Sus scrofa: one gene and its partners. The protein of the gene in region 2 purifies or fractionates together with the protein of the main gene of each other region. This does not show direct contact. Links are inferred from orthologs where the notes say so. Each region holds a gene or a part of one and is shown on either strand. Other genes may lie near its edges.

What was found.
Region 1: the proteins of ARRDC1 (region 2) and NEDD4L purify together in Homo sapiens (affinity purification with mass spectrometry; 3 studies listed by BioGRID and IntAct, counting the BioPlex papers as one, with this or other methods). This does not show direct contact. The link is inferred for Sus scrofa from reciprocal best matches to the Homo sapiens genes ARRDC1 and NEDD4L.
Region 3: the proteins of ARRDC1 (region 2) and HECW2 purify together in Homo sapiens (affinity purification with mass spectrometry; 3 studies listed by BioGRID and IntAct, counting the BioPlex papers as one, with this or other methods). This does not show direct contact. The link is inferred for Sus scrofa from reciprocal best matches to the Homo sapiens genes ARRDC1 and HECW2.

Annotation. Positions count from the first base shown.
Region 1 is NC_010443.5:162,511,255-162,522,111, reverse strand, and holds the start of NEDD4L (E3 ubiquitin-protein ligase NEDD4-like), read left to right. Parts: upstream 1-5,292; 5' UTR 5,293-8,555; coding exon 8,556-9,668; intron 9,669-10,857. UniProt on the Homo sapiens protein: E3 ubiquitin-protein ligase that mediates the polyubiquitination of lysine and cysteine residues on target proteins and is thereby implicated in the regulation of various signaling pathways including autophagy, innate immunity or DNA repair.
Region 2 is NW_018084833.1:395,424-406,153, forward strand, and holds the start of ARRDC1 (arrestin domain-containing protein 1), read right to left. Parts: upstream 5,801-10,730; 5' UTR 5,728-5,800; coding exon 5,610-5,727; intron 5,575-5,609; exon of another isoform or gene 4,606-5,574; coding exon 4,507-4,605; intron 1,892-4,506; exon of another isoform or gene 1,790-1,891; intron 1,782-1,789; exon of another isoform or gene 1,286-1,781; coding exon of another isoform or gene 1,279-1,285; intron 1,269-1,278; exon of another isoform or gene 984-1,268; coding exon of another isoform or gene 967-983; exon of another isoform or gene 902-966; intron 258-901; coding exon 147-257; intron 1-146. UniProt on the Homo sapiens protein: Functions as an adapter recruiting ubiquitin-protein ligases to their specific substrates. Through an ubiquitination-dependent mechanism plays for instance a role in the incorporation of SLC11A2 into extracellular vesicles.
Region 3 is NC_010457.5:100,336,089-100,346,759, forward strand, and holds the start of HECW2 (E3 ubiquitin-protein ligase HECW2), read right to left. Parts: upstream 5,566-10,671; 5' UTR 5,564-5,565; coding exon 5,272-5,563; intron 1-5,271. UniProt on the Homo sapiens protein: E3 ubiquitin-protein ligase that mediates ubiquitination of TP73. Acts to stabilize TP73 and enhance activation of transcription by TP73. Involved in the regulation of mitotic metaphase/anaphase transition.

The sequences.
Region 1 (10,857 bases), on a different chromosome or scaffold from region 2:
ATTTTTTTCCCTGCAAAGAATAAAGCAAAATAGGATTTGTTCTTGTTGGCTTGTTAGTTTATGGAAAAAAATTAAAGCAATTGAAAATATGTTTAAAGAAATAGAGTGGCTTGCAGATTTGGTAGGCGCAAAGGGAATGGTTTAATTTATAACAGGTATTACCAAAGGAAGCAAAATACTTGCTTAGCTATAGGAAAACAAATAAAAAATATTAGCAATAAGCCTATATATTTATGTCTGTATGTTTCACTTTTCTAAATTTTACATGCATGATTTCATTAAAGATTTGTTTCCATAATTTTATCTTAATTCATCTGTCTCCATGTTCATATATATATAAACATTAAAATATTTATTCCATATTGGGGGCACTTATTGACGATGCATGTTTTCTAAGTTCCATTTTTCTCTGTCCTTCACTCTTATTTGTGGATTACTATTCTTTTTCCCTCCCCACCTTTGGAGGGTAAACAGCCCAACACTGTGATAAGCAGTTCCTGGAGAGCATGACGGCTTTTAAAAAATGGTTTACTCTCCTGCTGTCTTGCAGACGCCCTGGTTCTGCAGCCAGGTCATTTTTTGTCAGGAACAGTTATGTAGAGTGTCTTCCACCTGGCGTTCTGACCGGCATTAAAAATCAGTTTTGCAAACAGGAGCCGGTATTTTGATTAGTGGGGAGGATTCCTGGGAAGGACGGAGGCCATTGTTCCCTGTTGGGCGCTGTCACCGGGTTCAGTTTTCAGCGGGGCCTTGCAGGGAAGGCAGCCGGGGACCTGGTTGCCTGCTGGACGCGGAGGGAGCAGAGAACCAAAGCCACCCAGGCCCGGCGGGGACACTGAAATGTGTTTCCTTCCGAGCGGAGGCCCTCCCCCATCCTCTCCATCGTAGGGGTGCCGCTCCGTGGCTGGGGCTGCGCTGTCTGCCTTGCTCGGCAGCCAGCCTTCTGGTTAGTATTTCTGGGCTGCGCTTGGGTTTAAGAACTGTTTTCATCGTTCTCTCCTCGATCTCTCCTTGTGGCCGGATGCCTGGTCCTTCATGCGTTTTGTGGTCTCAGGTGGCTGTTTCCTTCCCTCGCCTGTTCTTTGCCTCTACCCCTCTGCTGGTCCCTGGACCGCTACAGCCCTGGGCAGGCGGTGGTCTGGCACCCCCCACCCACCCCGCCGCCCCTCTTCCTCCTCCTCCCCCCACCCCTCACTCATTACCATCCCCGGTTTCATTCGGAGCTAGAAATACGAAACCCTTTTATTTAAGGTTGGGGTCACCCTTGAGTTGTGGGTGGGGAAAGTGCTGATTGTTTTTAAAATGCTAGTTCAATGTCATACAAATTCTGTGTTTATTTTTTTATGGTGCTTTGTATTATTATTTTGCTATAATTTTTAAAAGAAATAGATTGATAACATAATATTCTAACTAAAAAATATCTGTTGTCATCGGTGAGGTCATGATATTTGGGTCTCAGATTTTTACATATAGTTTTGAGAGTGTGAGATGTGTTTAAGAGTATTATGCATGTTCAAATGCACACACATGTGTATATGTATTTTTCTGTAGTATGTTTCATCTTAGTTTCAAAGAATGTTTGACAGTCCATGTCTTACCCAAGCCGAGGATGAAAGTATCTTTTCCTTGTCCTTGTGAGATGTATATTTAAATAGATTGATATGGAGATGGATGGATGGGTGGATGGATGAATGGAGAGGAAGATTGAAGGCTAGCTAGCTGAATATTTTTAAAGCTGGTTATTCTGGGGGAAAAATGGACTTTTGGTTTATAACTGGCAGAGTTTTTTCATGTTACATAAGCTGATCAATATTGTTCTTTATAAAGTATTCTACAGATTTCAGTATGTATATAAATAGTGAACACTCTGACCCTCTGTCACCTGCTTCATTGCTGTCCAGAAAAGATTTGTAGTTTGGCTGAGGGAAGTAAACAAAGTTCATTTCCTTCTTGATAGAATAATCATATCAATGTTAATTTCTTGAAGAATATCTTTATGTTTTCATGATGATGGCTCTTTATAGGTCCCCAACATTATTCCTTCTGGTTGATAGGAAAGTTATGGTTTTCTTATCTATGAATCATCTGTTTCATAAATGTATCCCTTCCCCATCTAGTTTGGTTTATAGAATAGTCTCAAATAATTGAATAAATGCTTCTTTTATTGCCATTTTGAAAATCTCGGCTATTTTTTCAGTGGAAAAAAAAGTTTAAGCAAATATGTGGACTGCATTGTACTAGGAACTGTTAATGTTTCAAAGACTGTAAAAGAAATTACAAGATGATTTCTCTTCCAGACGCTGAACCCAAAGTGGAATGAAGAATTTTATTTTAGAGTAAGTTTTTCTTTTTCTTTTTTTTTTTGACGATTGTTATTGAGAATAACCATATTGATATATTATCACAACAGACTCCTAAGAGTGAAATCCATTACTTTTTTATTATGAAATTCCTTTTAATACAAGAAATAATTGGTTAGCTTCCTGATGTGTCCCATGTTTTCAAAGACTGTGACTAGTGGTAGCAAAATCTGGACTTATTTCACTGGGGGATGTTTAAGGGAAACAAAAAGAAGTTTATCCAAATATGATATTTTAGCTTTTCTATTCAAATTTTTCTTTTAAAAAAAAGATAAAATATAACTAAAACAGTAGCTTAATTATTTCGGTAAGACATGAGCCCAAAAGAAGCAACATGATTAAAAAGATTAAAAATTACCAATCATATTCCAGTTGGTAAGGAAAATTTTTATAATTCAGACATTCAGTATGAGTGTATGTGTGTAATATAAAACCACCTCTGGAGTTTAAGTATCACCAAATCGAGTAAAATTTCCTCAACCTTTTATATTTAATATCTAGAAGAGCTATATGTAGATATGACAATTCTGTGAATTAATGGAGATTACTGTTTAATGAGATTTTGTGGTTGTTGCCCTTTTTTTGTACTGAAATTTTGAAAATATGAAACTGCTCATCTATATAACGGGAAAAAAAAGAATTTTTTCCTCTTCAGAATGAATTAATTTTAATCATCTGTATAGCTGTGATATTAAAAAACATTTACCTCCAGAAATGCTCTAGATAAGATCTTCTGATTAGTGTAGATTCCCAAAGAAGTGATTTCTTCCTTTCAAACACAATAGCATTTTATGTACCTCGACTTAGATCACTATATAGGACATTTGTTTTCTGTTATGTTTAGAGCTAAAATATGGCATTGATATTTTAATATTTGGTGAAAGTCTACATGTAACCTCTACCAGATGTATTTTAAATTATTTTCTGAAGGACTGAAAAAGTAATGGGGCCAGCTAGATGTTATTGGCCTTTCGCTAACCCTCAGATACAGCTTTCCACTTGTAATAATCCAAGCTGCTTAGACTTCTTTCATTTTAACACCATGGCCACATTTCTGTAAATTTTAATGCATTCAGGTTTTTTTTTCCTTCAACTTTCACATTAGCTCTAAACATAAACTTATTTACTTATTTTTTTTTTTGCCTTTTAAAAAGCATTTTTGCTGTATTCATCACACAAATCTTTACTGAGTGCCTACTGTGTGCCAGCTCCTGCATGGCCTGTGGATGCACTGATCAGCAGCACAGCCCTTCACTGAGCTTACAAACAGACACCAGCCTCCACCGTCCACCTGCTCGCTCTATCACTAGGCTGAGAGCAACCCAAGGGGTCAGAAGCACAAGTTGTGTTCTCTGTACCTCATTCCATTTTCCATTGTGAAGCAGCCTGGGCTTAGTGGACCTGGGACCCTTCTCTAGCCTTAGCACTTAGAACCATTCTGACCCTGGAGAAGCTACCTGAGGACTCACACTCCCCTCTGGCTCCTTATCTCCCACTAGAAGAGAAGAATCTTCACTTGATAGGCTTGTTTCTAGGATTTATGTGCATTAATAGAAATGACAACACTTCCCACAACATCTCACACATGTGGTTGGTCCTTAACGAAATGACACTTGAGTGTGAATGATGATTCCTGCTATTTCAGTGAAGTCTGGGTGAAGAGACAGAAAGAAGCAAAAAGACATCACCTAGAATTCCCGTTGTGGCTCAGCAGTAATGAACCCGACTGATATCCATGAGGACACGGGTTCAGTCCCTGGCCTTGCTCAGTGGGTTAAGAATCTGGCATTGCTGTGAGCTGTGGTGTAGGCTGGCAGATACAGCTCTGATTGGACCCCTAGCCTGGGAACTTCCATATGCTGCAGGTGCAGCCCGAAAAAGACAAACAAAAACAAAAGCAAAAACCAGACATGGCCTAGTGGCTCTGACACTGACCCCGCAGTTGCTGGAAACAGAACCATCTTTTATTTCCTTGTCTCTTTAATGGTCCGGAGAGTGGGCTTTGGAGACGAGCAGGCTAGACCTGATGGGGATCCTGGTTGCCCTGCATACCAGCTATGGGCTCTGGGGCAAGTTAGTTAACCCTTCTGGTCTCGGCTTCTCATTTGTAAAAATCGGGGTGACAATTATACATCATAGGGTTGCTTTGAGAATAAATGAGATGATGTATTTTTGATATTTAATAAGAAGATAGTGCCTAAAAAGGAAACATGCAATAGGAATGTTTTGTTTTGCTTTTTTTAACTATTTACATGCTTTTACTGTTTTATTCTTTTTTTTTTTTTATCATTGCTGTTATTTTTAGGCCTTAGAGGTTTCCTCGGACATAGACCTTTGTGAGGATGTAGCCTTGATCTACAGGCATGAGGATGCCTTTTTAGCGGAGACTTAGGAACTTTTAAAAATAAAAGTTTATCTAGAAAAATAAATTTAAAAGAAACTGTTTAGAAATATCCTTTCTCGCATTAGAAAAGTGACTTAAACCATTTTCTCCTTCTTATAGGCCTAAATATTAGGTGTAAAATAATATAGCGATCAATCATAGAAAACTTGATTTAGTATATAGAGGATTTTCATAAGAGCAGATTGCTTATATTGTACAACTGATTTGAGTGCATTAAAAAGCATTTTATTCTTTCAGTCTCTTTTTTCATTCGTTGAATTATTTCTGCTCATTTTAAAAGTATTATCTGGGAGTTCCCTGGTGGCTCAGTGAGTTAAGGATCCAGCATTGTCACTGCTGTGGCTCAGGTCCAGTCCCTGGCCCCAGAACTTCCACATGCCTCAGAATAAATCAATAGTAACAATTATTATTTTTGTCCCTTACAGGTAAACCCATCTAATCACAGACTCTTGTTTGAAGTATTTGATGAAAATAGATTGGTAAGTGGTTCCTGATTTTTAATTTTTGCTTCATTTTTTAAAAATTGAATTTTCAGCACATCTTTAAAAAGTCTATATGTGTTTTATTTCTCACAGCATACATGTCCCTCAAAAAGACTATTTTTGTCCCATTACTAGTTTAATGTTCGTAATTCAAACAAATATTTTTGTGTGGGTAGGACAAAATTTATTTGTACCTGTGTAAGTTTTTAATCATAGTTAATATTCATGACCATCACACTGGTGGTATATCAAGCCATATATGCTTATACTCCTCTGTTGGGGATACAAAGAGGTGGGCAAATCTCATTACTCATGGAAATAAACCTTTCAGGATTTTTATATGTAAGCCAGACTTTGAGACTGTGACACGTTCAATAGTGAATCTCTTTGGGATGACAGAAATCTAATTAACAGTATATAGCAAAAAGTGAATCTATATTTAGCAGGTAAAATTAAGCTGTATTTTAAAAGCGGTGCTTTCTCAAGGGAAATTCAAAGAAAGTACCTTCAAAGAACCAGAGGTATGCCTAAGGCATAAAACTAGTACTAATATGTTGTATAGATTATAGGTTAAAAATACTTATATATGGTTGCCTGCATGAGGCAAATTCAAGTTTTGCTTTTTGGAACTTTCTGGAATTTTTTTTCTAGATATTTTTGATTTGCAGTTGGTTGAAACCGTGAATACAGAACCTGCAGATGTGGGGGGGGGAGTCCAACCATGTATTAATTGCTTAAAGGAAATGTTATTATGAATCCTTCCTTCTGCAGAAGTCACCTGAAACTCCAAGTTTTTGAATAGCTTGAGTTTAATAGAATATTTGATCTGGAGGAGGCTTATAATACAACTCATTTAATTCCCTGTCCTTGCATGTGAGAGAACTGAGATCTAGAGCCTTGATGTAATTACATACCTGCCCGTCTATTAAGTCTCAGGCCATTGGTGGTGAATAGCCAGGCCTTAACCCTTAGTATTGAACCTAGGAGTATATTTGATCTCCTATGCCTGGAATTATTCTCCAAATTAGAAAGCAACAGATGCTGGCCTACCATCCTGATATATTTTCTATTCAAATATACGGATTCTCGGCGGCTTTGCATTGAACTTGACATTTTATACCTTGGGTGATGCTTAGTAGTACTGAATAGCTAAATCAGTTTTGCCCGGTGCACGAAGTTATTTTGCTGTTAAATCAAATGAGAAATTCTGCTTGAGGGTGTAGTTCTTGGTGCTCCATCTCCTGTCCAGAAACACCGATTGGGCAGAGTTCAGCAGAGTCCCAGAGTCCACAGATGGAGCCACAGATTAATCCTTACTCTCTCTTTTATTGTGTCTTACAACATTTCTTCAAGGTGAAGAAATGGTCAGCTTTGTGGAAAAAACTGTCTCTTGTCAGATGTGTTTTAACTCATTTAACTCTTCTATTGAAAGAAATTCTCTGTAAAAAATGTTTCCCATTTCCCTTATCTAAAAGAATCACTGTTGTTGAGAGGACCTTGCCATGAGCCTAAAACTTATACTTCCAAGCCGAATAGGGCTTTGAATGCAGAGCTCTAAGAAATCTCATGTGAAACTTTATCTGAAAAACTGTTTTATGTACCTAGCTTTGCCCCAGGCTGTCTGCATCCTTGTTACTATGCGTGAATGCTGCTGCTGGTGGTTTTTTCTTTGTTGGCTATTAATCCAGCAGAGACACTACGTGACTATAGTGGTACTTGGCAGTTTTCACATTAAACAAACTAGCTTCCATTTCTCTCATAGAGATCATTTTTGGCATTTAAAACACATGCCTTTAGAAAACAGGTTTGGATGTATATAAACACAAGGTTAATCCTCCACACTCTGGACTCCAGAGCTGTTGACAAAGTCAACATATATTAAAATAAACTTTTTGTCACTTTTTGCAGCTTGGTATTCCCACATCCCTTCCCTTCTTACTTCCTCCGAAATAAGCCTCTTTGTTAATAACTCGTGTTTCAGGACAATGAAAAAGAGTATGTTTAAAACACTCAGAATATATCCAAGTTAGCTACAAATCCGATGACAGCTTTTTGAACGTGGACTTTCACTTTTATTACTTAGGTCTTTTTTGACCCTTCACAAAAATGTCAAGATTCTATGTTTCCCAACTGGGCTGATATTGCTGGCTTCTTACTGGAAAACAGTCAGCCAGCTCCAGTCAGCCTTTTTTTCCTGCATGGTATTGAAATTAACTTATTACAGAAACCACATGCATACCCTTTAATTTTCCTTCTCCTTTTTTTTGGGGCGGGGGTATTGTTTTCTCTCCTATCTGGCATATGGGAGAGAATGTTTTCTCCAGCTGGGTTCTTTTTCTCTGGTCACTAACATGTCCGAGAATCCTATTATGTGTGAGATGGTGTGCCGCCAGCACCTCCCTCCCCCATCGTTTAAATGAAAAACGTCGTAACCAGAGGCAGACCACTGCTGGGGAGTGTTGTAAGCGGTGCCCCTTTCCACTTAGCTATTTTGTTACTTGTAGGTCATGGTCTAATTATTTAGCATTAAATGGCGGGGTGTGTAATCGTATTTATAGTACGTTTTATTAGTTTGCATTCCATCATGGTAGTGTGGTGATATCATAAATAACAGGGCAACATAACATCCGATTGCTGGAGAAAGGGTTTTCCTGCAGCCCCGGCATTTTTACTCAACAACGTTTGGTTTCGTGGGAAAGGTGGTGGGGTAGGTGGGGGAATACTATGGGCGCTTTTCTGTGTTAGGAGCCGGGTCTCTCTCCTGCATTGGTTGGAGAGTCCCGGGGCCCTGCTTGGTTCAGAAAGAAGTGTCCTGTGAGCGCCAATGCGGTTAGATTTATAGCAGCATGGCTCGGAGTGTGTTTGCTGCCTTAGTCAGCTGTGAGAGCTCCCTGCTGGGGCCACTCCTGTCTGATGGAAAAGCAGCAGCTGGGAAGGTGCTGTTTCAGGCTCTTGCTGTTTAAAAAAAAAAAAAAAAAAAAAGAGGGAGAGAGAGCGCGCGCGAGAGGGGGGAAAACTCCTCTAAGTCCACAAGCTGGCATTGGAGGGGGAGACAGCGGTCATGTGGTTCTGGCTATCCTACCCTCTGTCACAGTGCGGATGAGAGCTTTTTGCTCTTATCCAATCATGCCTGGAATGCCGCTTGCCACTTGGGTTATTTCTGCTATCTGTCGCTCTTAGTGCCGCAGTGCTAAAGGTTTGGCAGATGGGACACTTTTTCTTGGAGTTTGTGTCTTTGGTTTTTGACTTCTGGCAGCGCCGGGCTTGTTGTTGCCGCTCGCCCTCTCCCTCCCTGGCCCTCTGGGCACCATGGCCCATCGGCTTCGGTTTCATTTTGGCTCTGGTCGCAGCAACACAGCCCCCGAATCAGAGATCCTAGACCAGGAGAGAGAAGACGACTTTTTCATGGCATTCCACACGCTCCCGCGGAGGAGCGGCCCTCACCCCTTTGCCTCTCATGGAGCGGAGGATGGCGGAGGTGGCCTGCAGGCAGGCGTGGGCGCGCTGAAGCGCAGCTCGTCCATGTTCATCCCCCAGCTCCTGAGCCCCGTTGACACGCGGCCCACCCGGAGTTCATCCGTGCAGATCTCGCTGCAGCGCAAAGCTGCCGACGGGGCCCCCGACGGGTGCGGGCCCCCCGAGGGCCTGGACGGCGACGCGGGCTCAGTGCCTCGGAGCGGCTGCTCTGAGACCCCGGAGCCCAAGAGCCTCGAGAATCCCTCTCCCGGGGCCGCCAGGGCTCCAGGCCCGCAGGTCAACGGCACGTGTGGCCGACGAGCACCCGGCCTCACAGCCCCCGATGGCCGCGAGGAGGCCAAGCCTTCGATCGCCCAGGGGCCCGAGGGCAGCGGAGGACTCCGCATCCAGCACCGCGCCTCCAGCGCGGATGTGCGCCAGGTGAGGCTGACGCCTTTCGGGGCTGACGGCCCAAGCAGCTCGTCGGCGCAGGAGCCCAGGCGCTGGTCCCTGCAGCACGTTCCAGATGCTTCTGGAAGTTCTGGGAAGCGGTGTTTTGTCTTCCAGTTGCAGCAGCCGCAACCCGGTGTGCCAGGGCTGGGTGGTGACTTCAACTTCGGGTTCACCGGCACCAAGGGGGACAGGTTGGTGAGGTATCCCCGCATCCGGCTAGAGAGGAGCACCTCGTACCCCACGCAGCCCCGAGCAGAGCGCGGGAGCCCCACAGAAGAGCACGGCCATCCGGAGACACCACCCCGGGGCCGCAGGGTGGCTCCCGAAATCCACAGGACCAACTCCGTGGAAAGGACGCCGCAGGGTCAGGGCTGCACGTTTAAGATCAGGCAAGATCAAAATGCGGGGCAGCAGCATTTCAGAATTCTTGTGACTCGGGGGCCAGAGGAAGCTCCTCAGAATCCCGAGGAGAATAACGCCTCCTGCCCTGGTTCCTCAGGAGCCAGCGCCCCGGTAAGTTAGTGTGCGTTTCCCTGCAGTGGCCTGTCGGCAGGGACTGATTCAAGTTCAGCCGACTGATTCTGCAGCATAATTAAAATAAACTCCATCCGCCTCCCTTCTGGGAGTTTCCTTGCTTCTGGCCAGAGTAACTTAATGTTTGGCCGAGTTCTGGGACCATGATTTGTGGTCCAGCCTTTGGTAGAGGTCCATGAAACTAGTTAGCATTTCAGAAAATATCATTTCCTTAGGTCCTCAAAGTCAGACAGCTCTGTTTTGAAAACCCAGACACAACCCCTTCTGCTCTTTTCCTCCCTTCTGAATAAAAGAATTTTTAAAACATATCACTTTTTAAGTGAAACTGCAGGGCCCCAACATGTTGATGTTGGAAGTGCATTTAAAAGCTGCTTGCATATGAAGCCTCTGACAACACTTGCTTTTTAAAAATTATCAGTTCTAATAGAGAGAGAAAATTTTGTGTTAAACTTATCTAGTCGCTTAATAATTAAGGGTATGCGAAGTTTGACCAGTTCTTCCTAATGGCCTTTTAGCTGTGGAGGGCTGTCCCTTGTTATGTAAGTTATGGTCTTTGTTGTTGTTGTTATTTTGTCCCATTAAGTAATACTGAACAAGGGGAGTCACATTTGTGGGACAGGAGGAAATGTGTTTTTCAAGCAGTTTGGCTTATGGGCCCAGGCAGGGCGAAACTGATTTGGGAACTTGTTAATGGTCAGATTGCACAGTCCTGCAATTTAACACGGCCCACTTGAGTGTCTAAGCGGGGCTGCTGTATATAGAATAGTAAGTGCCCTGTCTCCAGCTGTGGAATCAGACGCCCTGCAACAGATTTTGGCCTTTATTGCTCCTGTGTTCTTGCTCTCTCCCTTTCAGTGAAATGGAGTACAGAAAGACAGCTGCTAACTCCAGCAGGCAAATGATGACTCTGCAGCTTTCATAGTTTGTCATGGGATGAAAAGTTCCATCGGTTAGCTTTTTTTTTTTTTTTTTTTTTTTTTTTTTTACTAATAATCCCTAGGCACTAGGCTCTGAGTGCTTTATTTTTAAAGGACAGGCTCCTTGTGTTTTGAATGGGTTTTTTTCCTTGAATTCCCTGTGATTGCTGGTTTGAGGCTATGACAGTGAAATGTCTAGGAGACTTTTTGTTTGGGTTTTAGTTACCAGTTGTGACTTTTCAAAGTGGTTG
Region 2 (10,730 bases):
CATCAGAGTGCACCGTCCTAGCAGAGGGCGAGCCAGCACGGGGGCCCAGAGGCAGATGGAGAGGCAGGGCAGACAGACAGACCCCATCCCGAGCAAGAGCTGCCGCAGCAGATCACTGGGTGGGATAAGGAGGTTCCCAAACTCACCCTTGTCGGCCAGGGACAGAGCGCTGTTGAAGTAGCCCTCCTCCGCCACCCACGCCGCGTCATTGGCCTTGTTGGAGACCCTGCAGGACCCTGTACAGGTCACCCGGATGGCTGCAAGAAGAAATCGCATGAGCCCCAGCCAGTTGCTGGCCTGGACCCTCCTGGGCCCCAGCACAGAGATTCAGGCGGGACTGGCAGCAATGGGGACCAGGCAGTGGCACCAGCGAGGCCCTGGGAAGGAGGGACACCTCCTGCCTATCCCACATCTCGGGGCGCTCCTCGGGAGCCCAGGCGGGAGGCACGGAGTTCCACTTGGCCTGTGGTCCAGAACAGGAAGGCCCCAGTGATCACCCAGATGACCGCTGGGCAACCCCCAACACTACCGGACCGGTGAAAAGTCAGCTCCCTACAGGGGATGCTTGGGAAAGCAGCGCTGATGAGCAGAGGCTGTGGGGCAGCTGACTTCCAACCCCAACCGCTCTGCAGGTGTCAGGTAAGTCAGTCAGGCTGAGAGGCACTCCTTCCTGCTCCAGGAAGCTAGCGGCCACCAGCGCACTCTGCAAGAATGTGGTCAGACCAGCCTGGGCAGGTAGGGAACCTAGCAGTCTGGCCCAGAGGGTGGGGGCACCCTGGGCTTCCTGAGCCAGTACTGCCCAGGAGAGCTGATTCCTGCATGCAGACACCCCACTCCCCAGAGGAAGCACGCAAAGCAGGAACTGTGGCAGCCCAGGGGCATCCTGGTCAGTCCAAGAGACCTGTGCCCAGAGTCCATGATGGTCAGAAGGCCATGGCTGGACCAGGCTCAGCTGCAGCTGCTCACCAGAGAGGACGCCACAACTGGAGACACAAGCAGGGTGGGGGACGGGAGCTCAGCAACGGGGGGCCCTGCAGCTCTGTCCATCCTTCCCCTCCCTGCAGGGCTGAGTCAAGGCCAAAGGCTTTAGCCTGTCTGCCCAGCTCCTCTGCCTTCCCCGACTTGACGGACAGGTGAAGGGAAGGTGACTCAGAATCTGACGCCCTCCTGACAGACCCACCAGGCAGGAAGACCTGAGGTTTCAAATGCCCAGGGCCAGGGGTCAGCCACACAGACTTTGTCCGCCATCTCCCCAGCTGGCCCCACCTTGCTGCTCACCCGCCATGCACCTGCGGCTCGTCCTCCAGCCTATCAGCACTGCCCGTGACCGGCCCTCAGCCTCCAGGCCAGCCCAGCCTCACCACCTGGGCCTCAGCCCTCATTTCTAATCCACCTTCCATCAGTCGTCCCCTCCTAGAGCCAGACCCGGAACTGTTCCCACCCTGGAAGTCTGGGACACTGGGGCGCTCCTACAGACTAAGGCAGCCCAAAAGAAACGTGGGGAACAGGCAGAGGAGGGGAAGCCTGACTACAGAGCGAATAGAAGACATGCTGGTGGATGCCAGACACCACCCTGCTTTCAACACCTCCCGTGGAGAGGGCGCATCCCCCTGGGGTTGGGCTGCCCTGGGAGTGCTGGGGACAGAGGATGCTGGAGAGGCACAGTGGTCCCCGGACTGGCCCGGTGCCAGCTGTGCACTGTTGAGGGACCCCAGTGGATGGCACATGGAGCTCAAGAATCACCCACCTCTGCCCCCATTTTTTTTTTTTAGTTGTTTAAGGGCCACACCTCTGGCACATAGCGGTTCCCAGGCTAAGGGTCAGATTGGAGCTGCAGCCGCTGGCCTACACCACAGCCACAGCAACACAGGATCCAAGCAGCGTCTTCAACCTACACAGGAGCTCATGGCATTGATCCTTAACCCACTGAGGGAGGCCAGGGATCAAACCCTCATCCTCATGGATACTAGTCGGGTTCGTTACTGCTGAGCCACAACCGGAACCCCCTCTGTCCAAATTCCTAACGCACGACACCACAAGCTATGATAAAACCACTTAGGTTAGGGTTTTTTGGTTTTGGTTTTTTTTTTTTTTTTCTGTTTTTGGTTGCACCTGAGACACACACACGTTTCCAAGCCAGGGACTGAAACCACACGGCAGCCGTGACTCGAGCCACAGCAGTGACAACGCCAGATCACCATGGAACACTAGGGGTGATTTGTTACTTGTGACCTTCACGTAGCAGCAGATAAAAGAAGAGATGTGTAACCTCACTAGGATTTGGGGAAACGCAGATAACTTAGCAACTATTAACTATTTTGACAAGTGTCACAGAGGAGGTAGAAAAACAGAGATTCCCTCCACAGCGATCCAAGCGCAGACCAACGAAGGCCCCGGAGAAAAACCAGGCAATTCTACACACACACCAGGAGGTCCAGCAGTTCTCAGAATCTCCCCCTATTTCCTCAGGATCCTCCAGCAACACCGCCCCTAACCGCAAACCATCTAGGCAGAGCCCCCGTGTCCCACAGCAGGGCAGCGAAAACAGTCACCGGCTCGGCCTGGACGTGGCCCCAGGATTAAGATGAAGAAGCCACAGGAGCACCTGACCCCAAAAAAACAAGTCGACACTTGGTCATCCCAGGTGGGCCTGAACTCTGCGAGCTTCTCAACAAGCTGCCGGCAGGCTGAGGCCACGTGGGGACCCTGCCTGGGTGAGCAGCCTCCAGCCACTGCCTTGGGGTCAAACCGCCCTGTCTCCTCTCCCCTGCAAAGGAGAACAGCGGAGGCTCAGGGGTGGACACACAGCAGGCCTGTCCCCCCTACTCTGTGCGGGGTGGCTGCTTCTGGAGGTGGGGCAGGGCCAGGTGTGTTCTGGCAAAGGGGCGGCACCCCATGGTGCCCTCTACGTTTGACGGCTCTGGGCTTTTTTATGGTCCCGTGTGGCACAGGGAAGAGCAAGTTCCTGGGCCAGGGATTGGATCTGAGCTTCATCTGTGACCTACACCACAGCTATGGCAATGCCGGGTCCTTTAACCCGCTGCATCAGGCTGGGGATCACACCCGCACTTCTGCACCACCAGTCAGGTTCTTAACCCACTGAGCCACAGCGGGAACCCCTGAAGTGTTCAGTTATAACAGTGCTCGGACGCATGACAAAAGGCAGGCACCAATCAGTCTTGGGCGGCCTGAGGCTGCTCTGGTTCTCCAAAATCATCACAGGGATTCTGCATCACAGTGACTTCTGGAACTTTCCTCTTGAGCCAACACACTCACCTGTCCAGCAGCCCTCCCCCTATGCACCACCTGCAATCCAGCAGGGAAGACCTCTGCTTGCTCCTCTTTCTGTTCTGGTCCCAAAGGTCTCTCCCACCCACCCCACCCCCAGCCCCCGCGAACCTGGCCGCCCGGCCTTGGAACACATCTCTTCTCTACAGCTCTGGCCTGCGAACCACTTCCCTCTGTCCTGTCTCCAAATCTGTAACACGACAGGCATGACCACGCCCACCTCCCAGGCCTGCTCGGAGGACCCGTGGGTTGGTCCCCAGCCCACGGCCAGAGCTCAGGGAGCTAGCAGAGCTGGGGCTGCTGGGGCTGCAGTTTGGGCCTCACCCTCCCTTGTCGCCCACCTCGGGAGCAGAACACAGGGCAGCCCCGCCTGACCGCCAACTACAGGCTGGTCGAGACCTGGGCTCCAGGAAAACGGCTCCTTCCCTGGCTTTCTTCCACATCAGCTCCCACGGCTGCCAGCATCCTCAAGGCTGAGTGCAGGTCATCACTCAGTCAAGCGTTTAGAGGCCTGTGCCCCCATCCTCTGTGTCCTCCTGGGGGGCCTCCCTGTTGTGTCACTGGCTGGTAGCAGGAGCCCAACAAGTATCTTCTGAGTGAAAGACAAAGAACCCCGGCTTTCCTTTCCCACCCCAGGCAGGCCTGGAGCCCTCCAGCAGCCCAGGCAGCCATACCCCCTCTGCCCCTGGAGGGCAAGCCGCTTGGTACCCGCTCTGAGCAACTCCCAGGCTGGCCCGTGACCTGACCTGTTCCTCCCCTACCCAGGGCTCAGCGGGCACTTTTATAGTCAGGATTATCAGAAGGGGCTCCTTCGATCCTGCGGCCCAGCTGTCCATCCAGCCACATTCCACCCACCACATGGAGCCTAGGGGGCTCTGCTCAGCCGAAGGTAGTCATGCACAGCTCACGCCACTCCTTCACCACGGTCAGCAATGGCCTGTCTGCCCTGGGCCCCAGCTACCAGAGGGCAACAGGGCGGGCATGCCAGGATGCGAGCTCTGGGTGGGGTCTCTGTGGGCTGCATGGCACCAGCCCCGAGGCCAGAAGCCTACTAGCCACATGCACCTCTTACCTCTGGCTCGTGCCCCAGAGAAAAGCTGCACTGTCCCCACTGTGCCGCTCCCACAACCACACCTACCCCACCCAGACCCCGAACTCTAAATGGAGAGCAGGAGAGAGGCCACCAGTCACGGGAGGAGGCGCCACACAGCTGCTCACCTGACAAGAGGCATCCTACAACCAGCTTCTTCCTAGACCCCTGGTGCCTCAAAGAGTGAGAAAGTCTGGGGTCCAACCCATCCAGGATGGAGGCAGCAGCTGCCCAGAGAGAAGGACAGTGGCTCTCAGTCCTCAGCCACACAGGGGCCTGGGGCCAAGGCCCAGAGGGAGGCCCAGCAGCTGCGGTTATAGCCAAGCACCCCCAAGACAGAGCGGCACCCCGGGACAGACACACCACACAGCCTCACAGCCGGAGCCAGAGTTCCGGAGAGAGGCCCTGGGCCGTGGCTTTGTGCACCGCACTCTACCTCTCCTGGCCAAGGTGTGAATTCCCAAACACATCTCAGACAGCGGACGAGACCTGCACCCTAGCAAGTGCCACCGCAGCAACCGGATCCCCAGTCTCAAAGCCCCAGATGTCTGCGCCAGCAGAGAGTGACTGGCCAGGAGGGCTCAGGTTCAGCTCCCAGATGCCTGCTGGGCCAGGGGCCTGGGCTCCCTGGGATGAGCAAGACCCTCCCAGCCCGCTAAAACTAGCCTTAGACTGGGTGTAAGCCAGTGCCCCTGGGGATCTGCACTCTCGGCGGGGCTGTCAGGAAGGAGGCCCTGAGCCAGGACCCTGGGTATGTGGGAGAGCAAGCCCAGGACGGCCAGGCTTCAGATGAGGACCACTCAGCAGGTGAGGGCCGCAGAGGACCGGAGACCCTACAGGGACGGTCGGGGGCGTCCTGGGTCCAGATCAGAGTGGCCTTCGCCGAGGTGCACCGGCTCAAAGCCGCCGCCTCGACTCTGGCCGCCTGTAGGCAGAGAGGACAGGAAGGGCAGATGCGGAAGGACTGGGCCACACGGGCCTCCCTGCTCCGCCCCGGCCGCCGCTGGCCTCCCACCCCGGCGGTCGGCGGCCCGCCCCGCCGCCCCGCAGCCCTCCCGCCGGCAGGACCCGTGCCCCGGGCGGGCGGGACTGGGCGGAGGGGGTGGTCGGCGGTGCCCAAGGCCTCGCGGGTCCCAGGCCCCGCGCCCCCAAAGCCGCGCCGGAGCGCCGAAGCTGCTCGGGAGCTCCGCCCCGCCCCGCAGGTGCGGCCCTCCCCGGACCCCGCGCCCACCTCGGAAGGGCAGCGGCGCCGCCAGGCGCACGCGCACGGCCCCCGCCAGCGGCTCCCCAGGGCTGTAGACGACGCGGCCGTGGCTCAGGCAGACCTCGAAAAGCTGTACCCGCCCCATGCCGCGGCCCAGGCCGGGCAGCCGCACACTGACGCCCCCACCCCGCCGCCGCCGCCGCCGCCGCCGCAGCAGCCGCGCTCCGAGCCCCGCCCCCGCCCCGCCCCGCCCGGCCCCCGCTCTCCGACCGCCCCCACCCCCCAACCCCGGTCCCCGCCGGGGCCCCGGCCCCCGCTTCCGGGCCAGCTCCCAGCCCTCCCCAGCCAGCGCCCCGAGCCGGCTCCTGCCCGCCCGGCCTCGGTCGGTGCCCCGACCCCGCCCTGGCCCGTTCCCGCCTCTCCTCGTCCCCCCGCACCACCCCGCCACCTCCCGCACCCCGCCGCGCCCGCTCCGGCCGCCCGGTGAGCCGCAACCAGGGTCCCGCAACGCCCCCTCCAGCCCCGCCTCTGTCCGTCCCCCGCGCCCCGCCCCGGCCGCCCGGGTGGAGCGCCCGCGGGGCTCGCGGGAACCTGGCACACCTGCGCCCCCTGCTGCCCCAGCGAGCGCGGAGGCTTCACCTGCCGAGCGGACGCGCGGGGCCGACGCCCCCTCCCAGACTCCGCCCCGGGAGGGTCTCCCCCGTCCCGCGTCTCGGTGCTGAGAGACAGCGCTAGGCTGGGTTTGTGCCCCGGGCTGGGGACTCTTGGCCCGCAGCAGCGGGAGAGAGAGGTGAAGGATGGGGCGCAACACCCAGGCGCCGATTCGCTGGCACCCCGGAGAGTCTAGCTAGGATTAGAGAAGGGTGCCGGCGCCCACTGGTGGGTTAAATATGGGATTGCTTGAAGGAGGGTGTCAAGGTGACCAGTTTTCCAGAACAGCTGGGTGAAAAGCGTGGCTTTTTTTTTTTTTTTTTTTGACGGAGACGACCAGCCAGGATACAAGTTGTTTTGGCAGTGGGAGAAAGTCATGACCAGCAGAGTCTGAAGTGCCCACTGGGCACCCAAGTGAACTGGCACTTCTAGAGATGGGTTTGGGGGAGACAACAGACTGAAGATTTGGGGGACTCCTCCTTGTGCTCAGGGAGGTAAAAACCTGACCCGTATCCAGGAGGATGAGGTTTGCTCCCTGACCTCGCTCAGTGGTTAAGGATCTGGCGTGGCTCTGAGCTGTGGTGTAGATGGAAGACTTGGCTCAGATCCCATGTTGCTGTGTCTGTGGTGTAGGCCGGCAGCTGTAGCTCTGATTTGATCCCTAGCCTGGGAACTTCCCCTTGGCGCTGGCGCGGCCCAAAAAAGACCAAGCAAAAAGGAGAGTGCTTATTCTCATGACTCCTGTCCTCCAAGGACCCTGCTTCCCAGTGGATTTGGCAGCCCCTCCTACGTCTGTGGGAATGCCGTCCCCCAACAACCGCATTCAGCCGGCGGGCCCCACGGCGGCCTCCCGTTGAATCCGACCCGGCCCCTTGACTTGCCTGAGCTGCCAGAGAGAGATGCCACACCAGCTGCAGGCTCTAAGGAGGGCTGGCGGCCCCTGCTCTCACTCCCTGAGGGTCCGGGTTGCTCCGCTGGCGAGATCACAGAGGGTGAGCCTGGACACGAGAGAGACCTTCTCAGAGCTGCCTCCTTGGTCGCACATCCTGATGACTGCAGCCGTAGAGGCCCTGGCCATTTCAGCTTCTGCTGCTGTGTAACAAGCCACCCCAGTTTACTACTTACTCTGAAAACGAGGCTGCACTCAGCCAGGGGGCTGTGCTCTGCGTGGGATCTGACTGCGACAGAGCATCTAAGACATCCTTCTGCTTTTGTATGACAGCTCGAGTGGAGTGGCTGGGCTGGCTGGGGGCTGGTCGTGTGTCCCTTCCATTAGCCCTCTCAGCAAGTGTGGCTTGGGGTTCTGCACAGCATGAGGGTCTCCAGGTAGTGAGCTGTTACCTGTGGGCAGGCCGCCAAGAGGGAGGGAGGTGAAGCTTCCAGTCCTCAGGCCTGGGCCAGAAGTCCCAGAACCTCAGTAAACACGTCAAAACAGTCCTACGACCAATGGAGGGAAGGAATCTATGGCGACAATTTGAGACAATTTCCCACAGCAGCCAACAGCAGGAGAAGGTACCAGCTGAGCCCAGTCTAGACCATGGATTCATGAGAAAATCCACAATTGGTTTGGGTTTTTTTTTTTTTTTTTTTTTTTTGGTATCTTTTCTGTCTTCTTAGGGCTGCACCCACGGTATATGGAGGTTCCCAGGCTAGGGGTCAAATTGGAGCTGTAGCCACCAGCCTATGCCACAGTCACAGCAACGAGGGATCCGAGCTGCATCTGCAACCTACACCACAGTCCGTGGCAACGCCAGATCCTTAACCCACTGAGCGAGGCCAGGGATCGAACCTTCATCCCCCTGGATGCTAGTCCGGTTCGTTAACTGCTGAGTCACGCCAGGAACTCCCACAGTTGTTTTAAGCTAATAAGGTCCGGGTCATTTTTTATGCACCAGCAGATGCCTGGAACAGACCCTGACACTTAGAAGCGAGACACTGCCATAACAAAATTCTAAAACCTGCACTGACTCTGGAATCGGCAGCAGGAGGACTCCGGCAGGGCAGTGGGGACACCGCTGGGGAAGGCTGGAGAACAGTGAGCCAGGTCGAGTATTGGCAGGAAAGTGGCCCGACCATTGCCTGTGGTAACGTGGAAGACAGAAAATGGATCGAATCATCTCATTTCCCAGGCGGAAAGCTTCAAGGGCCAAACGGCTTCTTTCCGTTGTTTACGCCATAGTGAAATAAAGAGAAATGAACTAAAGCAGTAATGGTCCATGTTCCAGCAGAAGCTGGAGGGAACATTTCAAGCTAAGTCTTGCAGTTGGAAAGTAAAAACTATTTCTCAATCCCAGACTTTCCAGGCAGCAAAAGTTCTCAAGGGAAGAAGTGACACCATGAGGGAGTTCCCTGTGGTGGCTCTGGTTACCGCAGTGGCCCCAGTTCAATCTCTGGCCCAGGAACTCCTTCTGTCTTTTTAGGGCCACACCTGAGGCATATGGAGGTTCCCAGGCTAGGGTTCGAATGGGAGCTAAGCTGCTACACCACAGACACAGCGTGGCGGGATCCGAACCTCGTCTGTGACCTATACCACAGTTCATGGCAACGCCAGATCCTTAACCCACTGAGCGAGGCTGGGGATCGAACACATGTCCTCATGGATCCTAGTCAGTCCCTGCTGAGCACGATGGGAACTCCCATGGCCCAGGAACTTCCATGTGCCGCAGGTGCAGCCACCAAAAAAAAAAAAAAAAAAAAAAAATCCGAAGGCGAGGGATGTGACCCCTTGTTAAGACCTCTGAAGGGTTTCCAGGGGAGGGAACCCTCACAGACGCTGTCGGCCATGCAGAAAGTTTTCCAAGTGTCTTGAGGTCATTGTCCCACAACACCAGGCTCATCCCCCACAGGAGAGAGGGGCCGCTGCAAGATATTTGCAGGGTAGCTTTTATCTAATTGAGTTATAATTTGATACACAGAAAATCCACAAAGCTTTAAGCGGTTGTATCTGCTTAAACAAAAAAGAACAAAGTTCAAAATAAAAGAGGTCTCAGCCCCCAACTTTGTACAGGCGAGCAGGCTGAGAAAGCTGCTCCAACATGGCCAGTCTGCTATGGAAAAGGGAAGGTGACTGAGCACATGGGGCCAGGAGGCAGCGGGAGCAGCTGAGAATAGCCCAAACGGTGGGTTAGGGCACCACTTGCCCGGGGGGGGGGGGGGGGGGGAGATAAGAGGACCGTGGTGACGGATGCCTGCGGCTGCAAGGGCAACCCCCGACCCCCTCTTGCACAGTGTGTCTATTCGCTCACCCTGTGCTTCCCCACGGAGTGTTGGGTCTTGGGGGGGCAGGTAACTTGCCTCTGGCCTTGTTCCATGTTGCTAGCTGCTGGATTCCAAGCCTAGAGCCCTGGTGAGGTGGTGGTGCTGGGGTCTTCATGTGGGAGGAGCCCAAATCATGGGGGGCCAGAGGACAGACAAGGAGGCAGCCTGTCCCACTGGCAGCCCATCAACGACTTGCACTTTCGGGACTTAGGCTCTTCCGCCCAGGCCTCCCGCACGATCTCCAGGCTTGCCCGAGGCGGGATTCAAGCAGAGGCCCACCGAGACCTGCCCCCTAGAACGGAGCTCCATGCCTAGGCCGCCAGCGACAGCAGACCAAGACGAGAAGGGAGAAGCTCCAGGCGAATTCCTAGCTGAGCCCCAGTGAAGGGAGCTGACACCGTGTGGAAGGGAAGGTCCCTGGTCAGTCGCAGAACCCGCAAAGTAAGTCGATGTTGCCTTAAGCCGTGAGTTTTGGGGTGGTTTTGTCACACGTCAGCAGATGGCACCATCATCACCAGCACCTGCGCCCCTCGTGGTGTCAGGTCCGCAAGGCTCTCAATCCCCTCCTCTCCTCGCCACTTCCTCTGTCAACAATCCTTTGGACCGTGAGGGGACCTCCAACCCGCGGATCCGTCCCCTCTCCTTTCCTCACCCAACTCAAAAGCCCCGGGCAAGACCTGGGACCGCCTCCCTTCGACACTCTCATCCTGTCTTTTCCCAGCTCCCCCGTCCTCGGAGCCGCTCTCCTGCCCCCTTCTCACTTTTAGCTGACGGCCTCATTTCCTACTGACTTGAGGAGGTAGAAAGTTCTCAGCAGAAGAGAACTCCCCTGGAGTTCCCGTCGTGGCGCAGTGGAAACAAATCCAACTGGGAACCATGAGGTTGTGGGTTTGATCCCTGGCCTCGCTCAGTGGGTTAAGGATCCGGCGTTGTTGCTGTGGCTGTGGTGTAGGCCGGCAGCTGTAGCTCCGATTAGACCCCTACCCTGGGAACCTCCTTATGTCCTGCGTGTGGCCCTAAAAAGACAAAAAGACAAAAAAAAAAAAAAAAAAGAGAGAGAGAGAGAGAACTCCCCAGGAGTTCCTTTGTGGCACAGCAGGTTAAGGAGTGGCACCGTCACCGCAGCAGCCTGGGGTCACGGCTTTGGTGCAGGTTCCATCCCTGGCCCAGGAACTTAAAGAAGAGAATGCCCCAGAGTCCCGCATCCACATCCACTCCCTCCAAATGCAGGCGAGCTAA
Region 3 (10,671 bases), on a different chromosome or scaffold from region 2:
GGCTCCAGCTTTTCACTGGAAAAGGAAGTTCCTCCAAAGTCTTTCCTTTACATATCACTGGCCAGAACTGAGTGACATGGGCACACCTAGACTACTTACTTACTAGTTGGATTACCACATAGGTTTAGACCTTTCCTGAGCCTGGAGGGGTCCAACCTGCCCTGAGTCCAAGGGCTTGCGGCCCATCCCCTAGTTCCATAAGGAAAAAGGGATCAGGGATGCATGTCAGTTAAAGACCAGAGTGCTGCCAGGCCTCTCTCATCACATGGGATAGCAAGTCCCCACAGAAGTGAGACTGCCTCCAGTCCAGAGGTCAGAACAGTCCTTTCTTGCCCCAGGAGAAAAATAGCTATCTCTGCTTAAAGCCAGGTCTCTGTCACTCATTTTGAGGTCCCAAAGAAGCTAAGCTTTCTTTTAAACACAGCTGTGGCTCTGCAACTATATAACTGAGCCATACTTCATGTTCTAGATTTTAGGACCTGTGCCTTTTAATGCAGAAGACCTGCTAAAACCAACAGCATGCCTGAAAACACCACGTACCTCATTCAACTTTCATGGTATTTTTATTTCCAAATGCTAGTCTCTGCATTCATCCTAGTCCTTTAAGAGATCTGAGGGTGCCAACTCCTCATACCTCTTCCATGCTACAGACTATAAGAAAATACACCATGAAGAAGACAAATGGCTGGAACTCAAACAATCACTTATTAATTACTCAGAGTTCTCTGGAAATGTGTAGATGGGAAAATTAAGTGGAACCTCTTAATGCCTACCCTAAATCAAAAGCAGAGGAGAAACTTCTGCTCCAGGCCATATTGTAGTAATTAGTTCCAGACTCATCTTCCTAAGGAAACAACTGTAAAACTAAAGGGCAGTGGTTTTCAGACATTACAGAATAGGTGGCATAAGAATAAAATCCCAGAGAGAAGGTAAAGTGATAAGGTATTTCTATGACCACACAGATCTCTGCCAGGGGACAATTTTTTTGAGTGCAGTACACAGAGTTAGAGGCCATGTAAGTTAGCAAGAGCTGAAGAGGCAACAAATGGAGTTTGGGTCAACTGAAGTGGCTACAATCTCCAGGCAAGGCACTGGAAAGGAAAGAGCTATGGAGGTACAAGGGCCAAAAGTCCACATGGGGGTCCCCCACAAGCCTTTGGCCAAGGTCTCTGCTGCACATGTGTAAGGTGAGACTACCAAGGCTTTCCAGAGAGCAGCTGCTACAGGGCTGAGAATGCTACAGTTAAAGAGGTTAAGCAATGCTGGAGAACACTGAAGTTACAGCCCAGCCAAACAGAATGGTTAACATTCCAGGCATCCAGCTAAGACATCAGAAATGCCACTACTTAGGAATAAGTGCAAAGTCCTATAGTAAAGCCCACCATAGACTCTAACAAATCTCCAAACCAAACCATAACAAAATCCACAGAGGAGACCAAACGTGGAGGCCAAATTTCATCAAGTTAGAAGTGCTGGGTTACTACACTGGGCTTTCCATAGATCCATTCTAACAAAGCATTAAATCACAACTAGTAAGCTCAAGGAAATAAGCCTGCCGACTAGAATAAAATTAACATTAAAATAAAAATTATCCTATGGAACTCAGGATTTCTACAATATAGACTCTTCAATGTCCAGTGTAAAATAAAAAATTGCTAGATACACAAAGAAATAAGAAAATGGGACTTATGGTCAAGAGAAAAATAGACAATAAAAACTGACCCTCAGATGCCCTCATCCTCCAGATACTGGCTTTAGCAGATAATTTAAAACAGCTGTATTCAAATGAATTAAAAGAACTGAACAAAAATATGGTCTGATAGAGTTAAGATATAGGGACTCTCATAAGAGAAATTAAAACCATAAAAAGAGAAATGCAAATTCTATCAATAAAAAGTCAAATATCTCAAATTTTACAAGTCATTGGATGGGACTGACAGGAGAATGAAGATAAAAATAGAAAAAGTTAGTGAACTTGAAGACAGGTAAAAAGAAATGATTAATCTGAATAGCAAAGAGATTGAAGAAAAATTAAGAGCCTTGGGGCCTCACAAAACAACATGAAATGATGTAACATATGTGTAACTAAAGTCTCAGGAAAAAAAAAGGTAAAAATAGAAAAAAACCTGAAAAAAATAACGGCCAAAATTTTCACAACTTTCATTAAAAGCTCAAAATTTTCACAACTTTCATTAAAAGCTCAAAATTTTCACAACTTTCATTAAAAGCTTATTTAACACACTCAAAGAAAGAGTTCCTGTCATGGCACAACAGAAATGAATCTGACTAGGAACCATGAGTTTGTGGGTTCGATCCCTGGCCTCACTCAGTGAGTTAAATATCCAGCGTTGCCAAGAGCTGTGGTGTAGGTCACAGATGCGGTTCAGATCCTGTGTTGCTGTGGCTGTGGCATAGGCCAGCAGCTATAGCTCTGATTCAACCCATAGCCTGGGCACCTCCACATGCCACGGGTGCAGCCCTAAAAAGCAAAAAAAAAAAAAAAAAAAAAACTCAAAGAATTACAAGCAGGTTAAATAAAAACACAGCTAGATATATCATTGACAAACTGCTGAAAGATAAACCAAGATAAAGAAAAAATGTTCAAAGTAGCCAAGAGGGAAAAAAGAGATAGATTACACACAGGAAAGCAAAAACACAATGAGAATATATAGTAAAGACTTAGAAACTGAAATAAACTAAAGAATAGCACTTTCAAAAGAGATTTATTTCCTAATACTATTTTCCTACCTATATCCTTAGTTAATTCCAGATGTAGTATTCTGATCTATACTCTAGAAAGTGAAAAATAAGAACACCAAGATTTTGTGACTTTGGCTACTCGGGAATAAGATAAATTTGGCTTTGGATTCCTTAGTTCCTTCTTAGTTAAATATAGTCAGGGATCTCATACTAAGTGAAGTTAAGTCAAAAAGAGAAAGACAAATACCAGATGTTATCACTTATTTCGGAATCTAATATACAGCGCAAACGAACCTACCTACAGCACAGAAACAGACACACTCACCAGATGTGGAGAGCAAACTTGCGGTTGCCAAGCGGGGGGGGGATTGGGAAGGACTGGGAATCTGGGTTAGTAGGTACAAACTGTTACAGTTAGAATGGATAGACAATGAGGTCCCACTGTATAGCACAGGGAACTATGTCCAATCACTTGTAATGGAACATGAGGAGAGGGAATATAAGAAATAGAGTGTGTATAGATGTATGACTGGATCACTTTGCTATACAGCAGAAATTGGCAGAACAATGTAAATCAACTACAAAAAAAATTTTTAAGTACATACAGGGAATGGGAGTTCCCGTCGTGGTGCAGTGGTTAACGAATCCGACTAGGAACCATGAGGTTGCGGGTTCAGTCCCTGCCCTTGCTCAGTGGGTTAATGATCTGGCGTTGCCATGAGCTGTGGTGTAGGTTGCAGATGCGGCTCGGATCCCGAGTTGCTGTGGCTCTGGCGTAGGCCTGCGGCTACAGCTCCGATTAGACCCCTAGCCTGGGAACCTCCATATGCCGCAGGAGTGGCCCAAGAAATAGCAAAAAGACAAAAAAAAAAAAAAAAAAAGTACATACAGGGAAATATAACAATAGGGTAGAGAAACAGAAAGGAAGATAGGGGGAAAAGTATGGAGTAATAGAAGTCACTGTCCACATAGGAATCCTAAGTGATTCTAGCATCTTACAGATTAAGCGATTCCCACAGAAAAAAGATATCATCCTATGTGAGAAAATAACACTGATTATGTCCCAAAGAAATATCAAATGAAGATCACTAAGAAAACAGTCTATTTGTAGTCTTATATTAAGCATTACAATATCTAAAATGAGAAAAAAAGGAAAAAATATGACAAAACTGAAAAAAAAAATTATGAAATCCAGAAGGGTGAAATCAAAACCAAAAGAGTTACTTCTTAAGTCACGTCAAAACTAAGATTCTTTTGTGAACATAATAGATATCAGATATAAAAACAGAATTGTTAAATCATGTCTCTTCCTCACTATGAATATATATTTAAACGCACCTGGGTAAAGGGCTGAACACTGAAAACTTTTCCTCCCTTTTTTTGTCGTAAGAAGAAATAGAAAAATAAAAATGCATTGAATTTTTTGGTTGCCACATTTTGCTTTTTAGCATGATTAAATATTAAAAAATATGTAAGTAAATGCAAATCAATTTTATTTTAGTCAATATAAAATTCTCTGTCCAGAGAAACATAAAGGGCAATGGGTTCAACATTTTAATAAAATTTCAGCAAGGATATTACTTTGCCTCAACCAGGGTTTCTCAACAGTGGCACTACTGACATGTGGGGATAGACAATTCTTTGCTGTGAGGGGCTGTCCTGTGCATTGCAGGATGTTTAGCTGTACCCCTGATCCATTACCCTCACCCAGTTATATCAGCCAAAAATGTCTGCAGACATTGCCAAATTTATTCACATGCACACAAAAATATGCTTGATTTATAATCTACATTGAAAGCCACAGTGTCTCTCTGATAAAATATCTGTTAAATTTTTAAAAGGATTCCCTTTATTCAGTGAAAAAGTTCTCCAATTTTGGGGAGAGGTGTTCGATTTTATTACTAGGTTAAGTTTAGATTTTCTTTATGATAGATTAGTAGGTTTCGACTTTTGCTTTCATATAAAGCAGGCTTTATATTTTCTGGGATGTGCTATTCATCAGGCACTCACCTATGAATAACAGATGCAAACAAACAGAGATGGGACACTATTTTAAAAAACAAAGAGCAACCTATTTCTAAGTCATTTGTTAGGACAATGTGACACTTTCTTCACCTAACTGATCCAGGACACATTAATCAATTTTGAAATAAAGATACTTTAGACTGAAAGTTGTTCTTAACGAAATTCAACATTTAGAAAATATGAAACATTTTTTTATATCAGTTATCTAAATCTAGACAAGATTTTCCTTGGTTTAAAAATACTAGTAAATGTTAATAGCAACCTCTTTCCAAAATGGGGCTATTGATTAAGGGGAAAGTGAAGTTTTAAAAGGAAAATATCACAGATTCTCACATTTAATTAAGGCAGAGATATAACCACAGAATTCATATCAGCAAAGGTATTTATAAATGTTGACTCCCCCACCCTCAAGACGAAAGAAAAATTCCTAGGATCTGCCTGGAATTTATGTATGTGAATTCCTTCCCAGGAGAAACCACAGAATAGAAAATGTCAGAGTGAAATGTATGCTCTAAGTCATGAGCAAGTCCATTTTGTTTGACTCACCTATGTGATAAAGTCCAATCCAATCACTCGGGTCCACCTCCTCTTTAATGTCCCAGAAGATAATGAGGTTCTGGGCTTGCCCCAGCGTGTACTCATACATGCTGGCAGTCAGGCTGGACCGGCTCTCAGAAGTCACCAGATCTGTGTCGCTGTTGGCCCGCTGCAGGGTCATGTTCTCAGGCATGGAGCTCTGGGCAGCCAGGCTCTGGAGGTTCTCTGGACTCAGAGTGTACCGCATCTGGGGATTTCGCCGCCGCACAAAAAGCAGGTGCTCCCGGGCTGAGCTAGCCATCCCGTCTCTGAGGTTGGCTTCCTACAAAGCTGTGAGAGACAAACAAGCACAAAGCATTAGTGCTACAATGTGAGGAATTAAGTTTAAGCTTCCCAAACGTAAAGACGTTAGGACATTAGGACCGCTTGTTAAAGCCTAGCCATGCCATAATCTTCTGCTGTCAAAATAAAACCTATTATTCGACTGTCAACGGATGATGTCAGAAACCACTTCTATACACTGAGGTCACATGATGTTAAAGGTCATCAAACACCTGTGGCCCTCGATTTCACTGGCCACCGGCTTCCTCCCGGCAATTAAGGAAGGGATTTCCCTGCCATCCCTTGTATGTCTATCCTTTTCCCTTTAGAAATGGTAGCCTCTTCTCCTTCCCCTCACGCACATATTTATTTGATGATGCAGTTAAATTTTAAAATAGCAGGACAGAAAATTCTGACACATGGAAAACAATTAAAATACACCACTGAGGACAAGTTTACTTGCCCAGTTTCCTTCACATAGGAATAAGACTCACTAAATCCCTTTGCAGTAGTTTGCTCAGATGTCACCCCCTCACTTAAATACAGCTGCTATTCTATTTAAATCTGTAAAACCCAAGCATTTTCTACCCCTCTTTCCTTGCCTTACTTTTCTCAAAAGCAATTACTACAATCCGATGTCCCACAAAGTACCATACACATATTTGTTTGGTTATTGTTTAGGTTTCCAAACAAGAATGTAAGCTTGGGGAAAAGATAGTCTCTTCACTATATGAAGATGGAAAAATTAGGCAACTATATGTAAAAGAATGAAACTAAACCACATTCTTACACCATACACAAAAATCAACTAAAAATGGATTAAAACTTGAACATAAGACAGGAAGCCATAAAACACATAGGAAAAAAACAGACCAAACATTCTTTGATATAGCAATATTTTTTTGGCTCTGTCTCCTAAAGCAAAGAAAACAAAAGTAAAAATAAACAAATGGAACCTATATAAACGCAAAAGCTTTTGTAGAGCAAAGGAAATCACTGACCAAACAAAATAATCTACTAAATGGGAGAAAAATATTTGTAAATGATAGGACTGATAAGCGATTAATATCCAAACTATATAATCAACTCATACAACTCAATATTTAAAAAAACAAATTTAAAAAATAGGCAGAAGACCTGAATAGACATTTTTCCAGAGAAGAAATACAGATGGCTAACAGGCACATGAAAAGATGCTCAGTATCACTCATCGTCAGGGAAATACAAATCAAAAACACAATGAGACATTGCCTCACACCTGTCAAGATGTCAAAAAGACCACAAAATAACAAATGCGGAGAAAAGGAAACACTCCTACACTGTTGGTGGGAATGTAAATTGGTGCATTTACTATGGGAAACACTATAGAGGTTCTTCAAAATATTAAAAATAGAACTACCATGTGATAGAGCAATTCCACTTCTGGGTATACAGCCAAAGGAAATGAAAAGAGGATATCACAGAGATATGTACACTCCCGTGTTCATTGTAGGATTATTCATAATAGCCAAAACATGCAGATAACTTAAGTGTCCATCAGCAAATAACTGAATAAAGAAGGCATAGTACATACATGATGGGATATCACTCAGCCATGAGAAAGAAGGAAACCCTGCTATTTGCAACAACATGGAGGAACACTGAAACATCATGCTAAGTGAAATAATTCAGAGAAAGAGATATACTGTAGTATCTCACTTACATGCGAAAGCTAAAAAAAAAAGTCAAACTCTTTGAAACAGAGAGTAGAAGAGTGGGGGTTGGTGGTAACACGGAGGTTGGTAAAAGGCTACAAACTCTCAATTTTAAGATGAATAAGGTCTGAGGAGCTAAGGTAAAACATGAATGACTATAGTTGATAACATCATTATCATATAATTGAAATGTGCCGAGAGAGTAGAAGGTAATGCTGTCACCAAAATAAATAAATCAATACATAAGGTGATGGGTGTGTTCATTAACTAGATGGGAATCCGTTTCACAATGTATACATATAGAAAAATCAACATGATGTACCTAAGTATCTTATTATTATCAATTACATTTCAATAAAGCTGAAAGTTAAAAAAAAAAGAAGAATATAAGCTTCACAAATGCATGTTTTGTTTACTACTCTATCCCCAGTATCTCCAACAGTGCCTGGTAGATAGATAGTACATATCAATAAATGCTGAATGAACTGATCAATGACAGCAGCATCCTTCCCCTAGATACTCCTTAAGCTCTGAAGAGATACTCCTGACTATTTCCTAGATACTCACGGCTTGCAACCTGAGGCCCTTTTCTGGAACGGCTCATTGCCATTCCTGATTTTCTGACTGGTCCACATTATTTCTACCATTTGGACCCATGATAAGCCACTTCCTTTGGTTCCCACTTGGCCTCCATCTAAAGGAACAGAGCCTGTTTGAACTTAGATCCAGCCCCGCTGGCTCACTTTCAGTCTAGTCCTAAAATATCCACTTTCTTCCTCACTGCCAGACTCTGACAGAGATTCTTTCCAAGACCTCTGTACTTTCCTCTAGCACATCTGAGGTTCCATCTGCCAGTGCCTTTCCTGCACGTCCATGGATTCACACCCCCTCACCCAGATGCCACAGGCTCTACACGGAATGAACCTGGCCCTCCCCCACACTACCCCTTTCAGGACGACAGCCTTCACTATTAGGTTTATGGATTTAACATTTACTCTGCATCCTTATTATGTGCCGGTCTCTTCAATATGCTACATCTTTTCAAATGGCCACCCTGCAAGGTGTCCTGGAATGTCAGCATGAACTTCCATGAAAAAAAAAGTAATCTTGGGTTCAATATTTACATTATCCTTAATAATCTTGGCTACCAAGTCTGAGGAAAGAAAAAAGGAGTAGGGTTACCTAATTTCTCCCATCCCTCATCCAATTCACAACCACTTGGGTGAAGGGGACCTTCTGCCATTGCAAAGGTCACAGTACTTGTAAATGTACTATTGATTCAATTAATTTCTGTCATGAAGTTGATCTCTTATTTTTAGCACTACCTCTTGAATTACCGATTGGTGGGCAAGATGTCCTATGTAAAAAGAGCAGAAATAAAATGAACACAGAAACTAATTCTTCTTCATAAATTTAGCACTTGTTTTCCTTACGTGGTATATAGTAACTCTGACATCATAATACAATCCATAACTATGAGACATCTTCAAATCCATGAAGCCTAAAATTCAGGTCAACCTCTAATCTGACGGTTTCATGAAATTTTCATTTTATTGGATTTCAACAGGCCATTTTTGTCTGTCAACCCAGAGTGAATCCAACAGCACATCAGCTTCAGCAAGCACTATAAATAATTAACTCTTAACACACTATAGTCAAATAGAAAATCCAGGCTGCACATAACTAAGCTACTTCCCTGAAAGAAAGAAATAGGCCAGAACCTTTACAGCTTTAAGCCATAATAGAAAACTGCTTTGCCCTAGAAAAAAAAAGGAAAAACACAGATATACACCAAAACTGTTTTATTTCTCTAATGACCTCAATTTAATCAGAGCGACAGGTTAAAATAGTGGATAAGAGAATAAACCCCAAGGCCTGATATCTGGGTTTTAGTCATATGTCTACTATTAAGTTGCTCTGTGATTATAGACATTTTATTTTAACTCTCTGCACCTCCATTTTCCCATCTGTAAAAAAGGGACATAATGACACCTGCTCATAGCATTTTGGAGAGAAGTAAATGAATCCATACAGGTACAGCATTTAGAACAGTGTCTGGCCATAATAAGTGCTCACTCATGTTTATTATTATGTGACTACATTCTAATTTAATCATATCAAGCAGAACTGGTTTTAATACTCCCTTGATTCCTCCTCCCCTCCTTTATTGGGAGAGTAGGCTGTCAGCACCCTCAATTATTCAAAGCACAATTCCAAAAACAAAGAAAAAAAAGAGCTTTATAGGCACTGAGGAATAGCTACCCTGAAGCCCAAGCCTTAACCCCATAATAATGGCTTGAGGAGGACCGTTCTCGGGTCCTCAAGCTAGAACTAAAGGCTGGAATGTGACTTTCTCTCTGTTACTGTGTTCACTCATTCATTCACAAATTCAACAAATTTTTACTGAGCACTTCCCATGTGAAAGGCATTTAGGATACAACAGAGCAAAAGACCAAATCCCTACCGTGTAAAGCCTTCATTTTTACAAGGACAGACAAGCAGCAGCCACATCAAAAAACTAATAAAGAACATATTTATTTTGTGGAAAGGTAAAAATATACTGGAAACGTGTGAATTTGCTAGCTTAATTGAAACCTGAAAAAAATGTATGAAGCATCTCTTAGTATACATCTGGCACAAAGCTACAAAGCATATTAAACCGTGAAAAGAGTAAGATTTTCTTTCAAATTCTTTCTTTTCTTTTCCTAAGGCACATAACTTGGCCCTTACTCTCCAGGAACTTTGACTTTTGGGGGAGAAGACCAAATATTCACATATGAAAGAATTAAATCTATTATTGACAGTTCCTGTATATGTACAATTTGTCCCCACCAGTATGTGATAGAGATAAATGCTCATGGGACATTAGGAAGTGATAATAATATGACACTTATAAAATGCTTTACATTTCCCAAATCATTTTCATATCTGCTATCTCAAGTGAGACCCCAGGATATTGTGAAGTAAATTTTAGAGATGCTATCATCTGTTTTCAGATGAGAAAACAGGATCAGAGAGGCAAAAGGTTGGCTGAAGGAGATAAAAAAAAAAAAAAAACTTTGGAAGAGGTTATATATTTGGATTAGAAGAAAAGAAGAAATTATGAAGAGCATTCTAAATGGAAGGACGGATGTGGAGAAGCAAGCAAAGAAGAGGACATGAGAGGGTAGACACATAAAACAAGAACAGAGGCTCTGCAGAACCAAGGGAAAATGATGGGAATCCTCCAAAAGAACCAAGCAGAAGCCCAGGGAGAGAGGTGGGTCATAACACTGCCATTGACGACACATGGTCAGCCCTGAGCTGCTGACTCAGAAGGCACTGATGCTCCATGAAGTGAAACTTGCCCAAGGTCAGAGAGCTAGTAAGAGACAAGAGTAAAAATCAGCGTAGA